Linked DNA regions of Caenorhabditis elegans. The protein of the gene in region 1 interacts with the protein of each later gene in a pairwise test. Each region holds a gene or a part of one and is shown on either strand. Other genes may lie near its edges.

Region 1 (8,229 bases):
TCACGACACCCTTGGCGATGGAAAAATTGATTCCAAGCAGGTGAGACTTTTAAAACAGAAAAATAGAACTGCTAAGATATTACGGGAACATAAAATTCTGAGAATGCGTATTGCACAACATATTTGACGCCCAAAATATTTCGAAGAGAAAACAACAGTAACTCTTTAAAGGACTACTGTAGAATTTGTGTCGATTTACCGGCTTGATTTTTGAAATCAATTTCTTTAAACTTTCATTCGTTTTTTCGAATAATTTTCTCATGTTTTACTAAATTTTAATATTCAATCATTTACTATATATAAAGCGCGTGTCCTTCCGTCCGTTTGTAGTTTGTAGTTTGATCTTTGATCTTTGGTCTTTGAACTCTGTAGTTTGTAGTCTCAATCACCTAAGAGGGGTCCTATAGGCCCCGCCCCTTTTGTGACGTCATCACAAATTGGCGGGAAATTCAAATTTTCTGAGAAATCATTTTGGCGGGAATTCAAATTTTAATTTTTTTAAAATATTTTGGCGGGAATTTAAAATTTTAATTTTTTGAAAATATTTTGGCGGGAATTCAAATTTTAATTTTTTAAAAATATTTTGGCGGGAATTTAAAATTTTAATTTTTTGAAAATATTTTGGCGGGAATTTAAAATTTTAATTTTCTGAAAATATTTTGGCGGGAATTCAAATTTTAATTTTTTGAAAATATTTTGGCGGGAATTTAAAATTTTAATTTTTTGAAAATATTTTGCCGGGAATTCAAATTTTAATTTTTTGAAAATATTTTGGCGGGAATTTAAAATTTTAATTTTTTGAAAATATTTTGGCGGGAATTCAAATTTTAATTTTTTGAAAATATTTTAACGGGAATTTAAAATTTTAATTTTTTGAAAATATTTTGGCGGGAATTCAAATTTTAATTTTTTGAAAATATTTTGGCGGGAATTCAAATTTTAATTTTTTGAAAATATTTTGGCGGGAATTCAAATTTTAATTTTTTGAAAATATTTTGGCGGGGAATTCAAATTTTAATTTTTTGAAAATATTTTGGCGGGAATTTAAAATTTTAATTTTTTGAAAATATTTTGGTGGGAATTTAAAATTTTAATTTTTTGAAAATATTTTGGCGGGAATTCAAATTTTAATTTTTTGAAAATATTTTGGCTGGAATTTAAAATTTCTGAGAAAAAGAACCTTCGTGTCGAGACCCATCGTGGTGAGACCCTTCGTGGTGAGACCCATCGTGGTGAGACCCATCGTGGTGAGACCCTTCGTGGTGAGACCCATCGTGGTGAGACCCATCGTGGTGAGACTCATCGTGGTGAGACCCTTCGTGGTGAGACCTTTCGTGGTGAGACCCATCGTGGTGAGACCTTTCGTGGTGAGACCCATCGTGGTGAGACCTTTCGTGGTGAGACCCATCGTGGTGAGACCTTTCGTGGTGAGAACTTTCGTGGTGAGACCCATCGTGGTGAGACCTTTCGTGGTGAGACCCATCGTGGTGAGACCTTTCGTGGTGAGACCTTTCGTGGTGAGACCTTTCGTGGTGAGACCCATCGTGGTGAGACCCTTCGTGGTGAGACCCATCGTGGTGAGACCCATCGTGGTGAGACTCATCGTGGTGAGACCCTTCGTGGTGAGACCCATCGTGGTGAGACCTTTCGTGGTGAGACCCATCGTGGTGAGACCTTTCGTGGTGAGACCCATCGTGGTGAGACCTTTCGTGGTGAGACCCATCGTGGTGAGACCTTTCGTGGTGAGACCTTTCGTGGTGAGACCTTTCGTGGTGAGACCCATCGTGGTGAGACCCTTCGTGGTGAGACCCATCGTGGTGAGACCCTTCGTGGTGAGACCCATCGTGGTGAGACCCATCGTGGTGAGACTCATCGTGGTGAGACCCTTCGTGGTTAGACCCATCGTGGTTAGACCCATCGTGGTGAGATCTTTCGTGGTGAGACCCATCGTGGTGAGACCCATCGTGGTTAGACCCATCGTGGTGAGATCTTTCGTGGTGAGCCCCATCGTGGTGAGACCCATCGTGGTGAGACTTTTCGTGGTGAGACCCATCGTGGTGAGACTTTTCGTGGTGAGACCCATCGTGGTGAGACCTTTCGTGGTGAGACCCTTCGTGGAGAGACTCTTCGTGTTTGATATTATATTGGCGGGAGCTAAGGAGTTGGTGTGGGATAATGTCAAGGTACTCTAGGGGTATTGTGGATTTGCTGTAGGGTTACTGTAGTTCAGAAAAAATTGACTTTGTGCTTTTGAAGAGGTATTGGCTCGAGAGTTAGAGAGGCGGAAGCTTCTGTGATATTTTTTACATTCCAGAATGTTTGAAAAAGTAAAAGTTTCCACCTGTTTTCATGTGACATTGTTAAAAGATTATATAGTGTTTTATGTGTCGAACAATTTAAATTTCGCCAGTCGTTGGCCGCGCCGTAGGCGCGGTCAGCGGCTGGTAGATAAATAAATGATTTTAATTCATTTCGAAAGTCGAGTGCGTAAATCGACACACACAAGAGCTACAGTAGTCATTTAAAGGATTACTGTAGATATCGCTACGAGATATTTTACGCGTCAAATATGTTGCGCAAAACGCGTTCCTAGAATTTTATGTTTCCGTAATGAACTCTTTTACAACGTGCAGTATTTTAACTATGTCTACTAGATTGTCGACCGCGGTTGCATCGAGGTCCACCACTAATTTCATAGCATCGAAATTGACCTAGAAACTTTAAACCAAATTTTTAAAATTCAGCTTCCCACAGCTCTCCGTGCCATGATGCTCAACCCTACCGAGGCTCTTCTAGCCGAAGTGAGCAAGGCAAGAACTTCCGGAGCACGCATCACAGTTGAAGAGTTTATTCCTATCTACAAAAAGGTTGAAGCTGCCTGCGGGCGAAGCACTACACTCAAGGAGTTTCAGGTTCGATTTCTTGAAGGTTTTTTAGACAACATTTCCGAATTTTCAGACGCTTCTATCGCACTTCGACCGCGAGGGAAACGGACAAATAATGCTCATGGAGCTTAAGAGCATGCTCCAAAACGGCGGGGAGAAGATGACGAATCAGGAGGTGGACAATTTGCTGTTCGGCGTGGAAGTCGTCGACGGACGAATCAATATCAACAACTTCCTCAACAGGCATCTTCAGATGGGGCTTGAGGAGTCTGAGAAATGATTTTTTGCTGATGATGTGATGTAATGCGGCCTTTCCAAAATTATCGTGCTAAAACTATAATATTGCCTGTCCTTGTGAATAGTAAAACACAATCTGAAATGTGATTTGAATAAAAAGTTAAACTACTGTGTTTTTCAAGGCGCGCGCATTGAAACCTGCGACAGGTCTCGACACGATCTACAGAAATTTGAATTTCAATCACAAATTTACACTCGATCACTCCGCAATTGGTTTTCTGCGAACAAATCAATTTTTCGATGTTCAAATGATTCCCGTTTCTAGATTTTTCACGGTTCAGGTAAAATTCCTATTGATTTCCACTCTAAAACCAAAATTTAAGGACCCATCAAACGCGCTCCTCTCGTACACACAAAAGGGAATAGATTTTTTCGAAAAATTAGGTCAATTCTCGAAGGAAAAAGCTGCGATTGAGGAGGAATATTCTACGAAATTGAGGTTTCAGTTTAAACAAACGGAATTTGAAGTTTTTCATAACTTTCTGTAGGAGTCTCGCAAAGAAATATGCGAAAAAATCGGAAGAAGATGATGAAATTCTAAAAAGTGTAAGCTACACCAGCTCATTCAACTCATTTCTTCAACAACTTGATCAGATTGCCACTCGACATCAAGTATAAGAATTCTGTCAGATTTTAGTTGAAAAAAACATCGAATTTCAGACGTCGGCGGAGCACATCCGGGGAGGTGTGGTTTCCTACGTGGCTTCGAAGACGTGTCAGATGAGAAGTTCCCGGAAAAATGCGATTAATGACTTGAAAACTATCAATGACAAGCTGGAAGATCAGATCAACGAGATGTGCAAGTCTGGGAAGTGTTACCTGTAGGAAAAAATCTGAAAAAAGTCGATTTGAATCGTTAATATTGCAGAAAATCGTTCAAAGACGCGGAAAACTCGTATCAAAAGTTTTACAAAGCTGATAAAAATCTGGAAATTTCGCGGCTTGAGTTAGAAAAAGCCAGGGCTCTTGCGAATGTAATAGGCTCAAAAAATCGCAAAACGCTTTTATTTATTTATTTCAGGCTCGAAATGAAGCATGTGAACTTGCTAAACAGGACTACTCAGCGCTGGTTCGCAAAACCAACGCCGAGCAAAAAAGATACCACGTGGAACTGCTCCCAGTGATTTTCGCGCGGCTCAAGGCGGTCGACAAGGAGTGTATCGCCGATATGCGACAAGTTTTGCAGAAAATTGTCTCCTTCGATGACTCGCTAGCTGATTCAACCGGTTATTATCGCGTTTAGAAGAAAAAATCGACGATGTTTTTTGCAGAAGAATGCCGAAAAATCATGCAAAGGGAAGTTGGGAAAATCGACGCGGAAGGTGATGCTCAGCTGGTTTTGAAATCCGTTGAGTCAGTATTTTTCGACTGAAAATCCGTAAAAATAGATAATTTCCAGAGCAACCATCGAGCAGCCGGCTCCGTTTGAAATCGAGGATCTGGGGGATCCCAAAAATTGTGACAGCCGGACAAATGGTGAATAGAAATCTGTAAAAGTCGGAACTTTGCAGTTTTTGACTCGAAATTTCCTTTTTCTAGAATTTATCTTCTGAATTTATTTAATTTTAAAATACTAAATACATATTTTCAAACCTTTTCCAAATAAAAATACACATTTCCAGATTCTGCCGACGGAAGTGGAGGAAAATTGCTGAAAAGCAGCCCTAGCAAGAATCGAATAATTCGCAATTTTCTGGGCATTCTCAAGGAAAAGGAGGCGGATGAGAAGCCCGAGGCTTCCAACAACGATCAATTGATGTATACCGACAAGAGCAAGCCTGCGCACGTGCGGCTTTCGTGTCTTCGCTCCAAAATTCGAGATATGGAAAAACAGTTGGAACAAGCGATTCAGGGACGAGAAGGCATCACTAGGTACGAGTAGATGCACCGAGAGCACTGAAACTTTGAGAAAATTTCAACAAAAAAAAGACAAACAAATTCTAGTCCAATGAAAGTTTAAATTTACAGTAATCTTTAAGGGTACATACCGGTTTGTATTCAACACAAATTTGTCGTCTCGAAACTGATTACTGTATTTTTGGCACTTAATTTCGCATCTAAGTAATGGAAAAATGATTTTCTCTGAAGTTCTGCCAAAAGTGTAGAAAAGAAAAATAATATCTCTAAAATAGGCGGGCCCAAAACTTTACGTTTGCTGTAATTTCAGACTGCAACAAGCCTACTACACAAATCCGCAGCACGGGAATCCGTCGGCGTGCACGGAACCACTTATATCGTACGCTAAAAAGATAGAGAAGCTCAAAATGGATATACATAACCTCAAGGAGTTCTACGCGATGCTTGAAATGAGTGTGGAAGGTGCTGAAAATACAAAGAATGGATGAAAATGAAACGTTTTTCGTCAAATTTTCGAAAATTCTAGTTAAAATACCTCTTTTCAAAAAATGAATGTCTTCTTTTAAAAATAATCCCTTTAAACACAAATTTTCCAGAAGGCCAGGAGCGCTCTTTTGGCGGCCGTGATACCCCTGACACAACGAGAAGCATGTCAGGCAGTTCGACAAATCAATCATCATCCAAAACTATCGAAGACGTGCTGGTATCACTAAACTGTTCGGTTTTTCCTGAAAATTATCGTATTTTGCAGTCTGGCGAAGCGGGAAATTCTTCATCAGCAGATGACTCGTCGAAGAATATCGTAAGCAGCCAAAAGTTGTTTTTCAGGAAAAAAAACAAATTACTGAAGTCTTACTCAATTTTAAAACTTCCTTATACTTAAAAATATAAGAATTACCGTTAAAGCAAACTTCTAACATGTTGTTGCAACACCGCTATGTGTCGATTTACGCATCTCGTGTACTCTCCGAGAAGAACGGTGCATTTATTTTTCCCAATTTATTTTTTGGTTTTTTGTCTGAAACACTTTAAATTAAAAAATAATTTGGCTATTTCAGCGTTGAATACCAAAAAAAATTAGAGGACATAGTCAAAAACCGATAATACGAGAATTTGAAATTACAGTATTCTTCAATACGTACACCTTTTCGCGTTTAGTACAAATTTGTCGTGTCGAAATACCGTACTTTTGGCGCAATAAAAAATAATTGATTGTTCGTTTAGAGACCCACTGTGCGTTTTTCAGCTCCGCCAACTGTTTACAACTCCGAAACGGCTTATCTCCTCGCCAAAAACCTCGAAGTCTTCAACTCCGACGCCACTACGACGAAGAGCCGAAATCTCATCACCAAAGATTCTCAGATCCTCATTTTCAGGTTAAATTAAAAATCCATTTTTTTCCTTTTAAAAGCTTTTATAAAAGAAAAAATAGTTAAATATAAGTATAAATTTTTTGCAGGTGCCATTCGCAAATCTTTATCGACTCCCGATTCAGTTAAAGTCGAGACAGCGGTTACGGTAACCGCACTGTTCGAATTTGCCAAATCCTCCGCGGAGACCATGTCCATCGAGCAGGGCGAAATTCTTCTCGTACTCGAACACGATCACGGAGATGGATGGACTCGAACCAAAAAGTAATACAAGTAACAAAGAATTACCAAGTAAATAAAATGAAAGTTGCAGGAAACACAACGAAGAGTCAGGATTCGTGCCAACTTCGTATTTGCAATTCCCCCAGTGATTTCATAAATTAAATAGCATTATCATCATCAATATTGTACTCGAGACTGCGCTTATTATCGTCCTGTGAATGAAATAATTGATTATAAAAACAGATTCTTCGATTTTCGATTCATATTGCCATTTACGGAGAAAATGCACATAAAAAGTAATGGTATAATAAATTACAGGAAGTGGGAGAATGGGAGGCACCGCGGATTGTTGAGTTTAAAATGGGAAAAAAACATTGCACAATAAATTAGTAAAAAAGAACGGTTAGGCTATCTAGACAAATTAAATCAGCTTCACATAATTAGCGGGAAAAAGGCCTACGCGGCCGCTGGGCGCACGTCCTTTCCACCATCCGCTATCGACTTGATCGATATCTGTGATAATGTCATCAGGATCAAATGAGATCTCCGTGTCATCTGCAGCCTGGTAGTCCCAGAGAGCCATCGCGTTCTGCTCGGCGACCGCCGGCGGGAAATCGTACTGATCAATTGGTGGAGCAGCGACTTTTATTGGCGAGGATTTCGGTGCAAACACGGGCTCCTCTGGCATCACTGGAGGCATGTCATACTGTGAGGCGATGTGAGCTGGCAGTTGAGAGCTCGATGAGTGAGAGTCGATCGGCTCCGGCGGAGCATCATACTGAGACGCATAGTGGGAAGGAGCTGAAACTGGAGGTACAGCTGGTTCGAAAGACTCGTGAACCGGTGGAGCATCGTACTGGGAGGCGTAATGCGATGGAGCTGGAGTTGGCTCAGGTGGAGGTGGAGCAATGACCGGGGTTGGAGCAAGGAATGTAGGTGGAGCTGGCTCTGCTGGTGGCTCTTCGTATGCATCGTAAGAGACGGCAGGTTCTGAAAATATTCAAATTAGGACTAATAAACTTTATACGAAAACTGACTCATAGCCTCGGGCTTGTAAACCATTGGCTCTGGCTCATAAGCTATTGGCTTTGGCGTATACGTCGAAGGCTCATCTGGCTCAGTGAGTCGGTTAACGGGTTCACGGGGCGGAGAGGTCGTGCCAACTGGCGGCCACTTCTTAGGCGATCCATTCACTTGAGGCTTCGGAAGCACTGGACCGGAAGGTTTTGAGCTGAATAATTCTTTTCTGCTTCCAACGAGACCTGCGCTCGGAGTGGGGGCGGGAGCTGGAGCTGGATTCACCGAAGATGGCACGGGCTTATCACTAATTTGAGCCTTCCCGTGAAGATCATCCGCAATCCGTTTTCGATCCGTCTCGAATTCCTTCTGCTTCTGGGCCTGTGCCTCTTTTTCCTCCGCTTGCCGCCGCTGCTCCTCCTCGTTCATCTTGCTCCAGAACTCTTCGCGAGCTGATGAACTGATCTCCACGTGCGGTTTTGTTGGCTTGTACACCGATGTGACCTTATCCGGTTGATAGTTTTCTGTTTTGGAGTGAATTTCCGAGGCCATTCGCTGTCGATCCGCTTCGAACTGCTTGT
Region 2 (5,903 bases), on another chromosome or scaffold:
TTTCCTTTTTTATATGAGTGCTAATGAGGTCTCATTACAGTTTTCAAATGCATATTGATTAGATGAAACGTGTATGTTATGTTAATTTGAGCAAAAAAAAGTTTCGGTTTCATAATTTTTGTTTAAAATTCGAGGGGAAATGCTTATTTAATGCTATATTCCTAGTGAAAAAAGTAAAAGTACCCGAACTTTTAAAAACTATATGAAACAGTGGATTTCTAAAAAGTTATTTTGTCAATGCTGCTTTGCAAAAAAAGTTAGAAATTTCCATTTTGTAGTTAATAAGTGATATTCAATGGTTTTTCTTTAGCATAAGCTTAATTTTTTTTTGTTTCTTTTTTGACTTAAAAAAAAATTAAAACTCGAATGTGGGTATGAGTTTTTAAGGGAGTAACGGAACAGTGATTTTTTTTTGTTTTGCAGCAGTCTTCAAAATATGGCACACGAGCCAGTTAGTAGGGAGCATTAATCAAATTAAGCTTCCAAGAAATATATAATTCATCAATCTTTAAAAAACTTATTAAATTATTGAAAACAAATAATACAATACGGACGCAAACAAACACTTTTTAATGTTCCAGGTAATTTTCAAAACAACTGCGCAATGAAAACGCTCAATTTATGGATGTAAATGTCTTTTAAAATGAAAAAACAATTTTTTTATGATACTGACTCTAGTTTTTAATTTCAAAGAGGTAGTTAAGCATGATAAATTATCCTCTTAGAAAAATAAAATTACATTCTAAAGTTGATTTATTATTTTTCAACTGTAAAATAAATGAACATGATCGTTAATATTATTTATTGCAAAAATATAAATAAGTATTGTATTGTATATACACATAACTAGTGTCACAATTATACATTGGATGACTACATTCTCTTGCAACATTGTCCATTTCCACACGGAGAATAGTTTTGCTGGCAAGAGCAGGAGTTGACTGATTGAGTGAGGCATGGCATCTGGACTAGTTGAGCAGTAGAGCACGATTGATAGCATGATTGGGTGCATGCTGGAGCACATTGCTGCATTGGTTGTTGTTGTTGAATGCATTGTTGTTGGCATGATTGTTGGCATTGTGGAACACATTGAGCAGATTGAGACACTGAAGGTTCTAGGATGACAGTCACAATTTGTGGAGCAACAACTGGAGATTGGCATGCTGATTGGCATTGCTGACATTGTGGAGCAGCTGGTTGCTGACATTGTGGAATACATTGTTGTTGGCACTGTTGAGTCTGTTGGCACGAAGTTTGACATTGTTGGCAAGCTGGTGCAGATGGAAGTGTGCATTGTGGAGCACACTGTTGCTGGCAAACTGGAGCATACTGCTGGCAAGTATTCTGGCACTGCTGGCACTGTGGAGCTGATGGCTGTTGGCATTGAGGAGCACACTGTTGTACGCATTGTGGAGCTGCTTGCTGACAGGTTGTCTGGCATGGTTGAGTACATTCCTGATAGCACTGTTGAACTGGAACTTGTTGTAGAAGACATTGTTGTTGACACTGTTGTTGGCATTGTGGAGCACATTGAGCAGAGATTCCCAAGTTGACATTGATGACTTGTGGAGCAACAGTTGGAGCACATTGTTGAACACATTGCTGCTGACATTGTGGTTGACATTGTTGAATTGGTTGAGCTTGAACACATTGTTGAGTGCACTTTTGTTGGCATTGTGGAACACACTGGACTGTGACTGGAGCTGGAGCAACACAGGATTGTTCACAGGCTGGCATGCAAGATGGTTGACATTGGACTGGAGCTGGAGCAGCTATTTGAGTATAACAGGAAGACGTCTGACAAGTCTGCTGGCATGAAGATTGACACTCATTCATAGATGGAGCAAATTGACATTGGTTCTGGCAAGACTGCTGACAAGCTGGAGCACATTGAGAAGTTTGCACTTGGTAAGTTACTTGCTGAACTGGTTGGGCACATGAGCAGGATGTCTGGACTGGAGCAGTGTTCTGACACGAACAACTGTACTGTTGTGGTTGAGTTGCTTGTTGGCATGAACAACTTGGTTGAACTTGTGAAGCACAACCACATGATTGACGTTTATCACGAATTGATGTTGCCTGGAAAAAACTTCTGTGAACTTGGAAAACAAGCATTTTGTTGCTAACATCGATTACGTCCAACAAATATTTGTAAGATGTGGGCACTTAGAAAACTAGACCGTATTATCAAGAACATTTTGAAAAAACTGTACATGATGAATTTTTCATCAAGTGATGGAAAATTGTTGTAGTTAATATAATATTTTTAATTATTAATAAACCGAAATACTAACTGAAAAAGTTTAGAAATGTCGTGCCATTCTAAAAGTGAAAGTACAATGAAACTTTATCAAACCTCGATAAGCAGACAGCTGGAAGCAAAGAGAGCTACAAATACGATGAAACGCATGATAATGGTTGAAGAAGCAGGGCTTGATGATTTCCACAGATATCAAGGCTTTATATACCCCCTCAAACACTGCTTGCGTACGATTATAGCAATGTAAAAAAATAGTGCCGGAAAAAATAGTCCAAGAGTTCAAGTCTTGTAATTTCGAATGGCTATTGTGAGAGCAAACAAAAAGGTGTTTCTAATAATGAGTGGCGTCAAAAGGCAATAAACAATTTAAAATCGTTTTGTCGAAATCCGAACTCTAAAGTTCAACAGGTAACCCTTTCATTACTTTTCTGAAAATGTAAACGAAATTTTTTGGTACACATAGTTAAGCGGAAACTCGGCGCAATCCAAAAAAAAAACACTGTATCAGTGCAAACGCGCACCCAACCTCTTTTTGATCTTTGCAACTTGCCGTGCCCTCAAGAAATAGTGTGTGTAAGACTGGGAGGCGACGAGCGTGTTTTTTGGTTCATTTGCCATGTTATCATTGTTATGTTTGCGCTGAGCATGAAGCCGGTTGATGGATGGAGTTTGATAAGTGGGACGGAACTGTTTGATGGCTAATGAAACAGGGTTGTAGGACGTTGGTATAAAAGTCGGAAAAATTAAAACAAGGGCATCAATTGTCTCTTAGCAGCTCTTCAATCATATTGACAATGCGTTTTATTACAATTGCAGCAGTTCTTCTTGTTTCTAGCCTTCTTATTGTTGAGGTACGATTTGTATTACTGTTGCTTCACTTACTTTCTGAATTATCTGTAGAATTAGTTAACAATTTATATGTACACCTTGAAACATTATATTATTTCTAGGCATCTTCAATTCGTGATAAACGTCAATCATGTGGTTGTGCTTCACAAGTTCAACCAAGTTGTTCATGCCAACAAGCAACTCAACCACAACAGTACAGTTGTTCGTGTCAGAACACTGCTCCAGTCCAGACATCCTGCTCATGTGCCCAACCAGTTCAGCAAGTAACTTACCAAGTGCAAACTTCTCAATGTGCTCCAGCTTGTCAGCAGTCTTGCCAGAACCAATGTCAATTTGCTCCATCTATGAATGAGTGTCAATCTTCATGCCAGCAGACTTGTCAGACGTCTTCCTGTTATACTCAAATAGCTGCTCCAGCTCCAGTCCAATGTCAACCATCTTGCATGCCAGCCTGTGAACAATCCTGTGTTGCTCCAGCTCCAGTCACAGTCCAGTGTGTTCCACAATGCCAACAAAAGTGCACTCAACAATGTGTTCAAGCTCAACCAATTCAACAATGTCAACCACAATGTCAGCAGCAATGTGTTCAACAATGTGCTCCAACTGTTGCTCCACAAGTCATCAATGTCAACTTGGGAATCTCTGCTCAATGTGCTCCACAATGCCAACAACAGTGTCAACAACAATGTCTTCTACAACAAGTTCCAGTTCAACAGTGCTATCAGGAATGTACTCAACCATGCCAGACAACCTGTCAGCAAGCAGCTCCACAATGCGTACAACAGTGTGCTCCTCAATGCCAACAGCCATCAGCTCCACAGTGCCAGCAGTGCCAGAATACTTGCCAGCAGTATGCTCCAGTTTGCCAGCAACAGTGTGCTCCACAATGCACACTTCCATCTGCACCAGCTTGCCAACAATGTCAAACTTCGTGCCAACAGACTCAACAGTGCCAACAACAATGTATTCCACAATGTCAGCAACCAGCTGCTCCACAATGTCAGCAATGCCAATCAGCATGCCAATCTCCAGTTGTTGCTCCACAAATTGTGACTGTCATCCTAGAACCTTCAGTTTCTCAATCTGCTCAATGTGTTCCACAATGCCAACAATCATGCCAACAACAATGCATTCAACAACAACAACCAATGCAGCAATGTGCTCCAGCATGCACCCAATCATGCTATCAATCGTGCTCTACTGCTCAACTAGTCCAGATGCCATGCCTCACTCAATCAGTCAACTCCTGCTCTTGCCAGCAAAACTATTCTCCGTGTGGAAATGGACAATGTTGCAAGAGAATGTAGTCATCCAATGTATAATTGTGACACCAGTTATGTGTATATACAAGACAATACTTCTTTATACTTTTTTAATAAATAATATTGATAACTTTAAGTTTTTACTCAAATTTAGAAAAAAAAAAAAAACTTTGACCACTGAGCGGATCGAACGCCCAACCTTTCGATCTGGAGTCGAACGCGCTACCATTGCGCCAAGCAGTCACATTTTCCTTTGTCATCTAGTGCAATGACACGAAAGGGGTAGAGAGAAAGGAGAGAATAAGGAGGGGACATATGGCGGTAGAAAAACCGGTGACGGACTACTCTCTTCATCGTTTATCACATATTCTGAGTGTTTGTTTTTTCAAATTTAATGGAGGAAATAGATAGAATAGTGAGGAAATGAGAATGTTATTGATTTTCATGGCGGCATTGGTGTGAAACTTGTTGCTCCTACTGACGCGATTGTGCCAACTCTTGACTGTTTAATCTCTTTGAAACTTCTGAACAGAATCATTCGAATTCCTGGAAGTTTGTGAGGTTTTTCTTGCACGGGTTGTTGCAAGCACCCGACATCTACCGGGTTCTCGATGTGAACATATGCTGAATCCGCTAGAAGTCAAGCGCTACGGAACACTATGGAAAAATGAAGACCGCCAGATGTCGGCTGCAACTGAAAGTTTTGGGAATTTGCTTACTTTTTGCAGTCATTCGATACTCCGAAACGACATACATCACAATAAGTGAATCCGTGGCTGGATACAAAGTAAAGCTGCACAGCATTACTCCAGACGGCAAGCTCACATCTAAGTTGAATAAAGGAAGGAAAATTATGACAGTTATTGGAATGAATAATATGATCGTCGGCATTGTGATCTACATTGTAACAATTTTAGTAATCGGACTTAAGCGGCCGACACCTTGCGGGTTTTCTGTGGAAACCCATGAGGTGTCGGGCGCAAAGCAAAATTTATATACCTGAAGGATCAATGTCTTGAAAAACTGTTTATTTTGTATCTGAGACCTGGTCTCTCGCCAAAAAGAAATAGGTTCCCAGTGCATACTGGAAGCCGAAAAATGAGCAATAGGCGACCCAGATCAGGGAGTAGAAGCCTTTGAAATAGGCGAGCTTGTTGGTGCTGAAATATAAGAATTTTGTGAAGCGCCAGACATATTCCGGGTTCAGCATTAAAAAACAGAAACCGGGCGATGTCGGGTGCTTTTTTCTCGCTGCAATAAGCGCCCGACAACTCCCTAAATTATTTTTGTTTAGGTAGACGTCGGTTGCAGTAAATAGGTTTTTGTTAGAGTTACTGGTGATTGATCGTACTACGAGTGAGCTTAGTAATGCCGCTGCTTTTAAATCAACATAGTGAAACTGTAAACGTAATAACTCACTCAAAAACTGCTCAATATCTGTAAATAAACTGCACAGATAGTAGAGACATTGTTGCAGAATGGAAAAATGTGTAGCCTGCTGAAAATTTACAGTTTCAACTGAGAAACTTGAT
Region 3 (7,140 bases), on another chromosome or scaffold:
ATTAGTCTTGCAGCCTCTAATAGTATTGCAGTCTCTATTAGTCTTGCTCCCCTACGGGTCGTTTGAAAATTAGTCTTGCATGCAAGACTAATAGAGGGTATCTGAAAATATATTACTTGAGTCTAAAAACCATCGGTAATTTTCCGGAGATTTTGAAATCCTAGAATACGTCGACTGAAAAGTTTTAAATATCTCTTTGAAATCTATCCATGCATTTTGTTTGCTAACCGCCAAACCTTATCCCGATGTTTCTGGTTTGCACTAATTTCTATTCGACCCTCTCTCGTTTATCGTAAATCTCCGTCTTACGGGTCATATCTGCCTTCTTTATTTTCTTTCCAAAAGGGTTACTTTCTTGGAAAATGAGATGAAAATAGACCTCATTTCCATTTTCTACTAAACTTCTACAGTCCGTTCTGGCAATGGCCATTGTGACTATTCATCCAATTCGCGACTTTTCAAACTGTTATGAGTAGTAATCGGGCATTCCGCCATCGTTTTCACAACTGTTTTCCGATTTTCTTTTGTTGGACTTGAGAATTGGAATTCAATTCTTTCACACAAGACATTGTCACTTTTGCAACGTTCGGTTCCACTTTTTTATCATAATAACTATAATCAATCATAGTAAATGTTTGCAAGCTTCTGTTATTAGGATGGTTTTTTGTCGCAGATTTTTTTGCTTATTATAAAGGTACATATCACTAGCATTAATAATGAAAATTTTTTAACTTGATTTTGAGGTTGTTATGTTTTATTGTAAAATCAAAATATTTTTAACTAACTCATTTTAGCACTGCTGAATAATTAATAAGTACAACTATTTAACAGATTTTTTTTGAGTCACAATCCGGGATGGACGGCATTCTAAAATGTTGGGCATTTCGGATGTTTCGGCAGATGTTGAGTTTTAAAAATTGTGGCAATCGGTTTTTTCGGCAATTGCCGTCTACCCCTTATGAAAATATTTATTTCAAAATGTACCTGTTACAAAAATGCCACTTTCAAAAAAATTCTCTATTAAATTTTTTTTTCGATAAAAATTTACGAGGTTTGATGTAAATTATTATTAGTAGTAATAGATATCTTTTGGAAAATTTAATATGTAGTGCAATCATTCTCCAATCTCGGTAATATTGACTTATTTAATATTTTGCCTTAATTTAGCCACCAATATTAGACAATATTATTTCAAACGTCCTGAATGAAATCATCATTCGGAAGTGATCTAATCCATTTAACAAATAAATATTTATATCTAAAGCTTTTCGCCCGTCATCCTATCATCGCCTTTTTCGTCCTTTTCCCTATAATCAGACTATCGGTGAACGAGGAGAGAAATGTCAATAAACAAATTGATTAATCATCTTTGACAGGTGCCGGTGACCGGAAAATCCGTCATATCATAGTGTGAGGCAATCCGTTTTGAAAAAAATTCTATTGTGTTTGCAAAGTTAAACAGTTTTCAATATTCGTGTAATCTTAATTTTTTGTTTAGTGAGATTCATTTAAAAAAAGTAGTTCGAAATTTCAACGTTCCTCTAGATTCCTGACCACTTTCATTCTTAAACCGAATTATAACACATAACATCATGCACAAACATTATCATAATCTGTTGTATTTCCATCTTTATTTCTTATCACTTTTCGCATCTGTAGTTCGTTACAATTTTACGAGTTCTCGCTCATTCTCACTCCCGACTATCTTTCATTCCATTCCTCTCGATATTTATATTCATAATAAATAAATGCACTATAAATTTCTCCATCATCATTTTGCCTAGATTAATTCAACAATTGCATTTGGAGAGTAGCATATGTTTTCAGAATTTGTTCAAAATCACCTAGAATTCATCAATCAAGTCTGGAGTTTAAAAAAAAACCTAAGCTTTTATCCTCATCTTTTCACAAAACATCATCATTAACCGTTACTAAAGTATGCAACTATTAATCTGCTACTGCTTGTTGTTGTTTTGTATACATATCATGTTGTATTACATGTTGCTGGTCGACATCTCCTGTGAATTTAGTTTTACATTTTATTAGTTTTTTTGCACCTCTGAATACTATATTTTTATCATTAATAAAATAATATAATATCTAAATTCAAACAAATTCGAATTGTTTCTGTGCCAAAAACTATTCACGTTATGAATTGGTAACACTGAAAACTTCAGATGATGTTTTTAAAATATTTTTTTTTAAATATTTTTAAACTCAAAATTGGAACTATTTCAATTTCAGGGGTGCGCGACATTTGGTAATTTTGAAAACATTGGAAATAAAAATTACAGGAATTGCCGGATTTTGTTGGCAATCTTGTAACCTAACAAATTTAAGCTTGAAATGTCATGTGTATTTTAGTAGAGTTTTTTTGTCATCCGTTTGCTTGAGATAATTCAAAAATTTTAGAATTTGAGATACTTTTTTTTTCCAATTCCCGCGCACCTCTGTAGATCACAAAACTTGTTTTGTAATTAACTTTGTCATTTTATTAAAAGAATGTAACTTCTATATGAAGAGTATTTATTGTATTTAACAAAGAAATACGAATAATTTTGATTTTCTAACCAAGCCCAATGTTTTACTAGCTTGAAGTTTGATGTAACTCCATTATTGCACAGTAATCTGTGGTGTGAAACTGGCACGTATGTATGATTGAAATCACTAGAGAGATAAAAGAAGATAAAAGATTTTGCAAAAGTGGTTTAGTGCGGCACAAGCAATTGTTATGCGCTACCAACTTGTCTTCGTGTTCGCCAGAACTCACGAGCAAACACCACACTCTCTTCTCTTCTTGACAGTACAAAGAAATTGGCACATAATAGAAACCTGAGAGCTCTTTACTTCTTCCGTAGCACATCCTTCTTTTGTTTTTCGCTCATTTTCGTGTGTGTTATTCTCCCATCATCGTATTTTTTCACTACATATGCATAAAGTTGTTGATACATCATAGTCTGAATCATGGAACATCTCGTGGTCGCACATGTCTCCTTCTTCAAATTTTTTATTCAACAAAACAATGATTTCAAATTGTTGTATAAAAAACTAACCAAGCCTTTTTAAATTGCTAAGTTTCCGTTCAACAATTCATGTTCCTATTGAATCATTTTTTATTGTTGAAACCCATTATTCTACATTCAGCAATATGTAGGCAATTTGATTGAAATTCTATCCGCTTTTCCAAAAAGGAATGATGAAAATTTTAAAGGTTTTTTTTTCAGAATTGTATGGACATAGAAAATCTACAATCGTCAAACAACAGGTCACAGAAAAGTCGTCCTCCGGACGGCTTCAACGCCATCTTACAGACAGCATTTTCTGCTATTTTGGTGAGTATTTTTGCCATAATTTTAATACAAGTTAATACTAAATTAAAAATACTCCTATTAAATTTTTTAACTTAAAGGTAAAGTTAGGCCAAAACGAGATTTTCATTCGAGAAGAGATATTCATTCAGATTTCGCGCCTTTCTCGAAAATTGTCAAAATTCGTAAATATTGGATAATAATTAAAAAAATTTTTGAAGTTTCACGATGATTTTTTTTCAGTCCATCTTTATATTTATATCACATCCCTCTATATGATATTGAATCTGACATATGTTTTCTTTAAAATAAGCGTTCAGCCTGAGACCCTTCCCTCTCTCAATTATAATAAGAACAAAAGGGTATCAAAAATGCGGATCTTTTTCTTTAAATCGTGTCAAATTTCTCACAGTTTCCCGTGTTATTTCCAAGCATATTCTTCTTTTTACACCGGGCTTTCCGCTCTCAGAATTTATTAAATTCAAAATGTTTCGCGTATGGGTGGCAGCAAAAGCGTGCAATTGTGGATCTCGTACATTCGCTTGCAGACATGACCACCACACTTCCACTTTTTTCTAATAATCATTGCATTTCGGATACTAATTGCGTCTTGTGGTTGTCGGGTGGCCCTTCAACCGTCTCATTACATAAGGGCCTTCGTTCCGATAACTTTTTGCCCTTTTGGCGATCTGAAAACTGAGAGGAAAGAGGAAAACTAGTCCAGTAGATACACTATCCATTCATTAGAGAAAATTTGAATTCTTGACGCCTTCACCATTCCATTTCAATTCCCACACACCTTCTTACAACAATTCACCAATTAATTTGCTTTCTGAATTCAGGCGTTTGTCCTCTCTCTACGTATAATTGTGTTCGCCACGGCCCGGAAACGACTTACCACCACGGCGGCAAATCCGGATATTCAGGTTGAGGAGGCGTCGTCTTCCTCATCCGATACCAGCTCCGACACCGAAATTGTAGAAGAGGGTGTATTTATACAGGTGAGACCTTTTCTTGATTGTTTTTTCTTTTCACAAGACATTATCAATTTTTTATACTTTTGCCGTATAGGTTAAAAACTGAGTTTTAACATTTAACGTCTTGAAAGCGGAATTTTGTTTTCATTCACATATGAATAATTGTCAAACACGATTAAATATCGTAATTACACACATTTTAAGTTTTCATGTTCTTCGGAAGAATTATTTTCGGGAGAATAAGAATTATTTTTGAAAAAATGTCTTGCTTTCAAATAATTTCTCAATTATTTTGGGCATTACTGGAGATTTGAACACAACAATGTATATATAAAAATAATATGAATCTCCTTAATGTGTAAAACTGACAGGACATGTATTTTTTGGTTGACTTCCAAATGATTTATTGAAACTAAGTAAATGTTACTTTGTTTTGATTTTGTGTGTGATTTAAAAATTATATACATTTTTGATATGTTTGTTGGCTATTTTCGGATAGTGTAAATGTCTTGATCATATTAATATGCTAGGGATACCCCACATTCGAACAGTTCCAGATGATATTGAATGAAGATAATTTTAATAATAGTGGTAACGGAATAGAATGTATACATTGTAAAATTATACAACTTTTGAGCAAAAATTCACAATTAATTTACTCACAACACATGTGTTATTCAAAATTGTACGTGAAGCAATAAATCAAAAATTTAATTATAAAAGTGTCAAAATTATTATTTCTTTCCTGAAATTTATCTAATAACCATGTCTTGATTATGAGTCACTGACTAGAAATTTGCTTATTTTTAGTTTAATTTACGTTACCTACCTTAGTATTCAGTTCTTAATTCGCATCTTTTCCCAATTCCACTTGGCCAATTTTCTTCAAATTACCAATTCTGAACCATCTAACTCAACTCATCAAATCTCGACTCATTCATTCCACCAGACTCTAGCAACCTTATTAAAACTGTTCAATTGTTCCGTTGGAGATGTCAAGAGGGGCAGAAAACAGAGAGGGTCACAGACGTTTGCCCTTCCTCCAAATCGTCTTGGCCACTAACCTCTGTCGTGTTTTTTAATGTGCTACTACCTGGCTTCTTATGTGGTATTTGTGGTGTATATGTTGAATTTGTGTTATACTTTTACTTTTCTATATTCACGAGTTTTATACAGTTTAGAATTTATTTGTTCAACTAAAAATCTGCAAATGTCTCGATTGTAATTACTTAGTATACTTAGTAGGTTTAACGAACTTGAACTTTTTAATTTTTACTTATATTTGTAGTGAATTGATTATTGTAGGGATTATTCGTGTTTTAAATTTGAAAAAAAAAACACTTGTACCCTCTTGCTCCACCTTGGCAGTACTTGGGTAATTTTTGTTTTTATCAAAAAAAAATAAAATAGTCAAAATAGTCAACTAAGAAATATTAAATTCAACATAATTTTTTTCTTTGATAAACCCAAGGAGAACCGAAGTGTAAGCCGACAACTCAATAGTGAAAGTGAATTTTACTTTTACATAATTTTCCTTAGTGAAACTAAGTTGCGGAAAATTTTCTCAAACGATGCCAACTGGGAAAAGTCGAGTAAAAAGATACTGCCGTGCACTGCACGGTATACAAAAAGGAGATGCACCAACCTCAGCCACCTTGTCAATACACACAAATATGCATATACGTACCAGCTAACGCATATAAAAAGCCCTGTTTATTCAGATGATTCACACAAAACAACCCCGCCAGCTCTTCTGCCTTTTTGCCCCTTTTTCTTTTTTCTCTGTACATCGTTGTGTTCATATAATACAATATGTTTGATTTTTTGACTTTTGCATCCATCTCTATTCCTCTTCAAGTCACCAATCTTTCGCACTTTTTGTTTTTTCTTTATGTCTCGGGATTTCTTCATTTTCTGGTCATTTGTCATCAAATCATTGTACCGTCACTACCAATTAGTCATCATATCCGTTCAGTGTACAACGTTCCGTTCACTCCGAAAAGGTAGATTAATCCAAACCGCCTGTCAATCAAATTGTAGAGCCTACAACTATGATCTTACGCAGATTTCATTTCGTTTGTGTTTCTCCTTATACAATTTTCAATGCCATCACCATCACACCTTCTGATTTATGAGGTTCTGTATAGAGCGAAAGAATTGAAGGTTAACACTTACTATTAGATAAAAAGTGGAATAAAAACCAAAATCAAAACCAATATCTAAGGTTGAAAAATAAATAAAAAATTGGATAGGTAGAGCGGTGAGCTCTTTTCCCCCGTTTGTGCAAATCTCGGTCTCGACATCTATTTGATTGTTTGCACAATGTTTTTTTTCCAGTATTATCTTCTCTTTCATTCCACTTCCCGCTTTTTAGATGATACTTTTGACCATTTCATGTAGCCGCTTTCTTTTTTGTCTATTTAAAAACAAAGTATTCTAGTTTTAGTTTTTAGTTCATGGTTTTATTTATATTAGGTGTTCCAAATTGAAGAAACTGTTTTATTGAGAATTGTTATAGTATGTTCCATTGTCAATCAAATGTTTTGGCATTTTGATTAGAATCAAAATTGTTTTTTTTTATTGAAACAATATTTTTAAAACTTTTTAATTTATTACGCTCTCTCGGAGATGTAAAAAATACACAATAAAAATAGGAAAATTTGAAAAAAAAAAAATTAAGACTCATAAACGTTGCAAATACTTTTCTCAAAACTTTATCAAACCGTATAAAAAAACTGTCACTGACAAAACCTGCATTATGTCGTTTATGCATCATAACTGTAGAATATCTTCTGATGTACTCGAAAAAAAATGAATAGTCAAATAAGAGTGGTTACTTTTGCGTCAATAAATCT

The links.
Region 2: the proteins of toca-2 (region 1) and pqn-90 interact in a two-hybrid assay, tested with the Caenorhabditis elegans proteins (one large-scale study listed by BioGRID).
Region 3: the proteins of toca-2 (region 1) and ajm-1 interact in a two-hybrid assay, tested with the Caenorhabditis elegans proteins (one large-scale study listed by BioGRID).

What each region holds. Positions count from the first base shown.
Region 1 is NC_003281.10:13,752,569-13,760,797, forward strand, and holds toca-2 (Transducer of Cdc42-dependent actin assembly protein 2 homolog), read left to right. Parts: upstream 1-3,375; 5' UTR 3,376-3,430; coding exon 3,431-3,463; intron 3,464-3,505; coding exon 3,506-3,621; intron 3,622-3,670; coding exon 3,671-3,794; intron 3,795-3,842; coding exon 3,843-4,003; intron 4,004-4,050; coding exon 4,051-4,156; intron 4,157-4,203; coding exon 4,204-4,408; intron 4,409-4,453; coding exon 4,454-4,535; intron 4,536-4,581; coding exon 4,582-4,658; intron 4,659-4,804; coding exon 4,805-5,054; intron 5,055-5,349; coding exon 5,350-5,501; intron 5,502-5,635; coding exon 5,636-5,742; intron 5,743-5,790; coding exon 5,791-5,841; intron 5,842-6,285; coding exon 6,286-6,415; intron 6,416-6,498; coding exon 6,499-6,673; intron 6,674-6,716; coding exon 6,717-6,780; 3' UTR 6,781-6,871; downstream 6,872-8,229. Other genes in the region: mlc-7 (EF-hand domain-containing protein), read left to right, coding at 1-40, 2,745-2,912, 2,959-3,165; dbn-1 (DreBriN 1/DreBriN-like (where Drebrin is from Developmentally REgulated BRaIN protein) family homolog), read right to left, coding at 7,053-7,621, 7,669-8,229. UniProt on the Caenorhabditis elegans protein: Plays a role in protein trafficking, actin organization and embryonic morphogenesis. Potentially acts as a cdc-42 effector. May play a role in egg laying.
Region 2 is NC_003282.8:15,288,414-15,294,316, reverse strand, and holds pqn-90 (Prion-like-(Q/N-rich)-domain-bearing protein), read left to right. Parts: upstream 1-3,054; coding exon 3,055-3,111; intron 3,112-3,128; exon of another isoform or gene 3,129-3,150; intron 3,151-3,180; exon of another isoform or gene 3,181-3,210; coding exon 3,211-4,416; downstream 4,417-5,903. Other genes in the region: pqn-91 (Prion-like-(Q/N-rich)-domain-bearing protein), read right to left, coding at 874-2,079, 2,357-2,410.
Region 3 is NC_003284.9:9,079,753-9,086,892, forward strand, and holds the start of ajm-1 (Apical junction molecule ajm-1), read left to right. Parts: upstream 1-3,230; coding exon 3,231-3,332; intron 3,333-4,150; coding exon 4,151-4,309; intron 4,310-5,516; exon of another isoform or gene 5,517-5,719; intron 5,720-5,935; exon of another isoform or gene 5,936-6,077; intron 6,078-6,280; exon of another isoform or gene 6,281-6,471; intron 6,472-6,533; exon of another isoform or gene 6,534-6,681; intron 6,682-7,140.